Drosophila melanogaster: one gene and its partner. The protein of the gene in region 2 purifies or fractionates together with the protein of the main gene of each other region. This does not show direct contact. Each region holds a gene or a part of one and is shown on either strand. Other genes may lie near its edges.

What was found. Proteins that work in one complex are often made in the same cells at the same time.
Region 1: the proteins of vig (region 2) and CG4806 purify together in Drosophila melanogaster (affinity purification with mass spectrometry, with the first as the bait; one large-scale study listed by BioGRID). This does not show direct contact.

Annotation. Positions count from the first base shown.
Region 1 is NT_033778.4:24,666,336-24,670,090, forward strand, and holds the start of CG4806 (uncharacterized protein), read right to left. Parts: upstream 2,009-3,755; 5' UTR 1,967-2,008; coding exon 849-1,966; intron 790-848; coding exon 534-789; intron 477-533; coding exon 1-476. Other genes in the region: CG33228 (uncharacterized protein), read right to left, coding at 2,138-2,345, 2,402-2,761, 2,817-2,896; Pof (painting of fourth), read left to right, coding at 3,236-3,512, 3,567-3,755.
Region 2 is NT_033779.5:15,068,702-15,072,456, reverse strand, and holds the start of vig (vasa intronic gene), read left to right. Parts: upstream 1-2,140; 5' UTR 2,141-2,311; intron 2,312-2,360; coding exon of another isoform or gene 2,361-3,423; intron 3,424-3,586; coding exon of another isoform or gene 3,587-3,755. Other genes in the region: vas (vasa), read right to left, coding at 1-119, 3,587-3,755; solo (sisters on the loose), read right to left, coding at 414-2,034, 2,361-3,423, 3,587-3,755.

The DNA of each region.
Region 1 (3,755 bases), on a different chromosome or scaffold from region 2:
TCCTTCTTGCGTCCTTGCTTGGGCCGATTATTTGCCTTGCGCTCTGCCAGGTGGGACTCGCGTATCTTCTTGTTCTTCTGCTTGCGCTTTTCGGTTTTCACCTTCTTCAAGTGTTCCTTGGCCTGCTCTACAATCTTCTTTTTGGATCGCATCTTCAGCGAGGTGCCCGGCTTGGCGGCCGTGCCGACAAAATCGCCCTGAACATCGCTCAACTGCTTTTTCTCCGCGACTTTACCTTCGGCTTTCGCTGCTCGCGAAGCTTCAAGTTTCTTAATGTGTTTCTGAAGTTTGCTTTTATTATCTGCTTGGGGAACTGGAGTTTTGGTCTCCTGACCATTGCGCTTTTGCTGGCGTCGCTCCTTGCGCTCCTGCTGTTTGTTTTGGTATGTGGGATTGTTCTGCTTTGAGCGCTCCGTGCGCTTTTCTTTGATTTTGTGCACAGCACGATCCTCTATACTGAACGCGACAATGGGGCGCTAAGGGAGTGAATAGTTAGCAAGTGAAATTAGCAAGAGTTGTCTAAAAGTCCTTACACTCTGTGTTCCGAAGATATTGGGGTTGTTGTTTAGTTTCCGTAGGGCGGCCAAAGCTCTCTGATGCGTGTCGAAGGATAGGAAACCAAAGCCCTTGGACTTGCCCTGTGGATGCTCAGGGGTCACCTTATGTTCCCTCATCACCCGGCATTCGTGGGGTCGGAAGCCAGTATAAGTCAGAGCCATTTGTTTCAGCTTTTCATTGTCATAGTTTTGGGGGAGATTGTGAATGGACAAGCGATTCCGGGAAACAAACCTAGAGGATTATCAATTGGATTATAAATGAATCGGTCATGTACTTAGTTTCAGTCTTACCGATTCAAGTTCTTGAGCACCTGCGTCTTAACCTGCTCAAGTTCATGTCGCTTGGCCATGTCTGAGGCAGAAACCCCATCGGCTGCCTTCGCTCCAGCCATGATTAGACCTTCCCTGGCCAAATACAGGTTTCGTGAGTCCTTGGCATCGTCTTTTTTGTTTTCCTGCGACTGCTTCGACTTCATTTCCTCGCGGCTCAATGCGGGATGAGGATCCAGGACCTCGTCCATCAACTTAAACTCTGTTCCAGCTTGCAGACAAAGATCCGCTGACTCCTTGGCTTTGAATTTAACGAAGGCTGTACCCTTGGAGTGGCCAGAAACCGCCTGGCGATTAATAATGGCGTAGCTGACCAAGCCGAATTTGCGGCACGCCTTTCTCAAGTCGGCATCCTCTGCATCGAAGGGAACGTTTTTAATGAAGACCGTGCAGCCCTCCTGGACGTCGTTGGAGATTTGCTTTTCCCTTTTGACATTTTTGATATCCAATTTTGATTTTAATTCGTCCTTGTTCTCCTTATGATCTTCGTCGTTCTCTTCGTCTTCAGATTCTCCAGAGTCCTCTTCATCTTCGCCGGATTCCGCATCAGAATCCTCCCCAGAACTTTCATCTTCCTTGCCAACTTCCGCGTCGCTTTCCTCCTTAACTTCCTTCTCGTCACCGTTTTCCTCTTTCACTTCCACCTTTGGCTTCTTCTCATCCGGCTCCTCGTCTTTCGGGTTCTTTGATACATACTCGTCCTTGCCCAAAGCCCAGTCCACAAATACCTTTCTCCCGAGCAGCTCTTTGCCGTTGGAGTTCAGGATCGCTTTGGTGGCCTGGTTAATGGTCTCGTACTGGACAAAGGCGCAGCCCACCAGCTTCCCGTCACCTCGTTTCAGGATGTGTACATCCTCCAGCGTGCCCCACTGCCCGAAATGCTCGCGAAGCGAGTCCTCCGTGGACTTGTAACTGATGTTGCGCACGATGAGACGCGCTCGCTTTTTCTGGCGGCGCTCCTTCTCTTCCTTCAGCCTCTGTGTGTTAAAGGGGTTGCGGCGCTTCCGGACCCCGGTTTCTGGCTGAGATTGGGATTCGGCAGCGTCGTCTTTTAAAGATTTCATTTTTTTAAGTTCCATTTGCACGTGGAACTCTTGATGAGAACTAACGAACAAAACAGCTGATCGGCAAAATACCCAAAATGAAGGTCCATCCCTGGTATAACCGATAGAAAATGGGCGGGAATTTACAAACATTTCAAAAAATGTTTTTAACATTTTATTTGTAACAATTATCAACAATTAAAAAGTCTACGTTTCTTGTTTGGTCGCGAACAGTTGGTGGAACTCCGAGGGGGTCTTGAAGTAATCAACCAGAAGCATTGAGGAGCGGTTGCCCAGTTTGTACATAATGTGGCTCCAGGGATTTAAAAAATTCTTGTATTCAGCTATTTGACCGCGTTCAAAATAGTGTTTTACAGTTCCAATGGGTAGTTGGGACCCATAGACAGCCACGTATCTAAAAATAAAGTAAGTTACTACTTATAAATGTCATGTACTACCGTACAAAGTTACTTTTCCGAGCTCTTGTATATTCTCAGTGGATATTTGGCGACAAAAGCTCGAATCGCCAGGTTTATAAGCAGAAATCCACCCACAAAGTAGTACAGATCTGATTCCTGGGACACCAGAATGGCTATGTCCATTTTCTGGACCATATCCAGGTAGTTTATGGTTGTGGCATAGTGATAGGCGGCCACCGCAGCAAGTACAGTGGTCGTGGCAGTGGATATATTCTTCGTCCAGGTCACGTAGCTCTCGATAGGGGCCCGGTAAATCAGTTTATAGTTATCTGGTAGCCTGTCGCCAAAGAGGAGCTTCCGTTCCACTTCGCCGGAGGATGCATTCCGCCATTTGCGGAGCACGCTGCTGGTGCTAAATGAGAAGGTGCAGAGTGATTCAATCGGATAGGTCAATGGATAGGTCTTACTGTAAGAGCTGGAAATTCGGTTTAGCTAGTATTGGCCGTAAATAAACCAATTTAACACTTCGTAAGAGGGCCGCACACATTTTGTGTTTTATTATGCTGTCTTTGAAAACAATCTGGCAACGTGATCAGCTGTGCTGCAATCAGCGGCACTACCCGATGGTTGTCAAAGAAGAAGGTCTGGCAACGTATGTGCTTGAGGAATGCACCGAAGAATAATCAGCTGTGCCTCGAAGTTGCCGGATCACCAGGTCGCAGCAGCTATGAGTTTTGCGTCAGACTCGAATAATGATTAGAAGCCGACTCCTTCCGGAAACATTCATTAGGTAAACAACACAGCTATAGAACAGACTTTTCCAGTTTCCACAACTTTAGCTAGGAACACGTTCCACATTTTTCCACATTTTTGATACCTTAACAAAATGGATTCAAAACGCGCGGCCCTTGAATCCGGCGACGGTCCGGACGCCAAGCGCCTTGATACCACCGATGATCAAGACAAAGAAGCGTCGGGGGGCGACGGCAGTCAGGTTATGCTGGCCAAACACGTAGCACCCTACACGGGCCACGGATGTACTCCACCGATGGAGTCCTATTTGTTCGAACCGACTCCCGCCGGGAGTCAACTTCTGCCGTGGAAAACTAGCGTTGATTTGGACAACGACGCCGAGCTGGAGAAGCCCACCAGTGACAAGAAACGTAAGTTGATGGTACGCTCACATCCTAGTACTCTTATACAACAATTTCATTCAGCCGACACTGCCAAGTTGTCCCGTCGGGAGCTGGCCAAAATGCGCCGTGAACACACATTAAGGGCCCTCGCCCTGGAACGCGAGTTGACCAACAAACCGGGGCAGACACCCGCTTCCGAAGTGTTGCTCGTCCGCTTTCCTGATCCCGAGATTACTGCTCCCATGCTGGCAGGACTGTCCAAGGATATTC
Region 2 (3,755 bases):
CCTCGCAAAACCACCGTCCCCTCTTTCACCACGTTCACCGCCGCGTTCCTCCCGATCTAGTCTTCCACGACGTTCACCGCCGCGTTCCTCCCGATCTAGTCTTCCACGACGTTCATCACCTAGAAAATATTTGATTTTCATAACAATTTTATTCACTTAAATTTAAGCAGACGAAATACAGTTCATAAAAATTCATAACCAAAACTAAAATTCATTTTTAAATTGTGTATTTTATTTTAATACTGTTTCTGTACCAATTTATTAGCTAATCACGGACAATATAACAATTTAATGTCAACGAATAATAAGAAATGGCGATGATTCTAATACCACGTTCAACTTTATTAAATTATTTAAGCAAACTAATATTAAATTTTTTTTGTATTTTTAAAATTAAAATGCTTTTTATTTGATTAGAGCAGCCCGAAAAATCTACCATCCGAGCTAAGACTTATAATATTTGCAGTCTTAAGCTCGAGTAAAAAGCGATATGCCATCAACGCATCCTTGCGATTTCGGATGAATGGTGCATTGTGCATATCAACCTGGGACTGTCTGATAAGAGCACCGAAGAGCCCATGAACTACTCTCATCTTATCCTTCTGAATGTTCTGAATTATACGTGGATCGTAGACTTTGACAGCGGGCATTGTACTAAAATTTAGCGCGCCTTGGCTATTTTCCTTAAAAGGCCCCAGGGAGCTGACCTGTGCCCCTAGTTCCTCTTGACGATCTACCATCAGACGAACCACATTAGCGTGTTGTGAAATATATGCCAAATCGTTCATGGACACTCGATATAGTTGATTTTGCATTGATGTTCTGCGGTCACTTGGCGTTTGCAAATCATTTGTTGATGTCGATGGGGCGATATTTACTGCATTGTCTGTAATATTGGTGCTAACAAGATTCAAAGAATTGAGTTGCAACGACGGTAGTATCTGTATATCAGTCACATAAGCGTGATCGCTCATATTGGCCAAAGTGTTTGATACCTCCAGTGGAACTTCGTCGACTTCCATTGGCATTGGTGGAACCGATGTATTCATCATATTAGAGATGTCCATTTTTTGGGGTTTAATTTCAATTTCGGTTTTAGGTCCGAAAACAGCAATTGGATGCTGACCTATTGGAGTGGAATTTATGGGAGGCAGTAAGGCCAAAGCTTGATCAAATGATGCTTGGTCACTTGATGCATTTCCAGATATCTCCAAGGGAGCTACTACAGGAAGATCTTGAGAGAACGCTGCAGATTGCATACAAGCCCCAGAATCCGAATACCCTGTTGCCTGTGCAACTTCTAGGGAGGTCGTCGTTGCTTCTGTGGTCGGTGGTACCTCCTCTTGTAGTACATTTCGGGTGATATGGACTGATGTCGTTATTTCTTTCACTGAACGGGTTACTGCCAGACCTGAAGACGTCGTCACTTCTCCAGCTGCATTTTGTAGCAAGCTGGACATAAAAGTGGCTGCAATATGTCGGCTGCTTTGGAAGGCTTCCTCGCGACGGACAATTCGTTCCGGTGTTAGTTGCGGGCTGGCAGCTGAAGCGATACGATTACGTCGTCTGCGTGTACGCGAGCGACGACGCGCCCTTTGTGTTTGGCGAGGAGGTGGACCTTCGGCATAGTTAACCATTTCATCACGTGGTCGGAAAATCGAGCCCCACTCACGTTGCTCGCTTAGTGTTGTCTCTTCCGGCGGGAAAGCAACACTCATTTGCAGCTCGCGTGACACCCTGGTAAAGCGTAGATGATGCTCTTCGTCAATGACCGGCAGTCTAGGTCGGAATGATAGTAAAGGTGTTGATGCTGGAGGGCCTCCAAGCCGAGAACGAACCACTGTTGATCCTGGATGTCCGACTAAGCGGGTTTCATCCGCATCAGCTGGTACCACCAAAGTGTTGCTATCCATTTCTAACCCCAATGAATGCTCTGCTGGCAGTGATGGAGCCAACGGTGTCGATGCAGCGCCGCCTGCTGCCAATGATGGTATGGTCCCATCTTCGTAAGTCAAATTGGGTATAAAAGACAAGCTGTGAAACGGACATTACTTAGCTTATGTGTTCATTTAAGTTATAGAGAAGGAAACGAAAGTAAGCGAAGAGATGGAAAATATGTACATATAGAAAAGTAAGCTGAATTTATACTGCATTAAGGTACTTCTCTAATCAAATTTCCTATAAATTGTTTCGGTGTCTGGCTAAATTTGGTGTTTTTTTTTTTCTTTTATGTAATCTTTAAATGTTTGAAATCTGCTCTTTTCTACACAACCGCTCATTGGAAAAAGGGAATAAAAAGTATCCATAGATGGTAAGAAAGAAAAGCGCTAGACTAGACTAGTTAGAGTTGGTTTAAGTACCCTGGATCGCTCCTATGTTCATTTGGGGTGCTCGAAGCACGCAGAGCCACAACTCTGCCGGGGACTCCGGTTGCGGAGCAGGGAGTCTCCTCATCTCCAGTTGCATTGTAGCGACTAACGTAAATTCCATCTGGCGTTTCCTGATTTTGCGACCGCTGATGTCGTGCCAAGTTTACCATACTGCTGAGCTGACCACTACTCGAATTGTTTGGCTCGCTCGCAACAGTGGCTATTATGCGTGTCCTAATTAAGGGCTGAGAATAAAATATGCCTTTTTGATGGACCGTCGAAATGTGCTGCTTTGGAGACTCTGGCCAGTCATAAGATTGAAAAACCATATGCGGACTGCCAAAACGTACGGCCCTTATTTCATGCCGAGTGACAAAGTTCTCACTTAGCCAGTGCAGAAATCTAGTCACTCCATATGTTGATCCATCCACTTGATTATTTTCTGGGTGTTCTCGGTCTTCTGTTGGAATAGAATCTTCTCTCAATGCTCCTTGATTATCATCATACAGCCGTCGACCCGTTTGGTAACCTCGATCCAAAACCTGATGATACACGGCGTATGCGGCGCTTTGTATTTCGGTTAAGTCATCGCCATCGGTTAAACCTCCTGATCGACCGCCCTCAGTACCGCTTGTCCTGTTTGTTTGTCCATCTCTGATCTCCGAAGATTGCGGCATCACAACTTGCTGTAAATTCCTCCATTGCGACAAATCAGCTCTGCAATCCGCATCAATGCTTTGAAATCCCATCCCAATCCCATTTGCTTCCTCATGTTCACCTTCACGAATCAATCGGCCCATGTCCTCCATAAGGCGATTCATCATATCTGTTGTTTCGCGTATCTGATGTGCCTTTTGTGCACGCTTTTCTTGAGCTAATTTCTCGAGAGAAGCCCATGCTTGGTTCACCAAAGCCTTAAATGCAGTCAGCAAGTAGTCACGCAATTTTCGAATCAGTGCTAGGCTGGTCGTGTACTTGCTCAAGTCCAGCTGATCGATGAATGCGCCCACCTCATCCTTATCGCAGCTAGATGGGATCGGCGGCAGTTCCTTAGCTAGAATGTTGGCCAATTTGCCACCAATTGGGCAAATATGCATACACAAAACAAAAGAAAACAAACTACTTGACAAAACAAAGCACACCACATGGAATTCAGCAGGAATGACTCAAATGACCATAACCCAAAATTTAACATGTCGTCCAAAAGGTTTACTCACCATCCTCGTTTTCGTACAGCCGACCGCGGAAGCCGCCTTCTCCACCACGGAAGCCGCCTTGTCCCCCGCGGGAGCCGCCTTGTCCACCGCGGGAGCCGCCTTGTCCACCGCGGAAGCCGCCTTCTCCACCGCGGAAGTCCCTTTCTCCCTCGCGACGTCCACCGTGGAA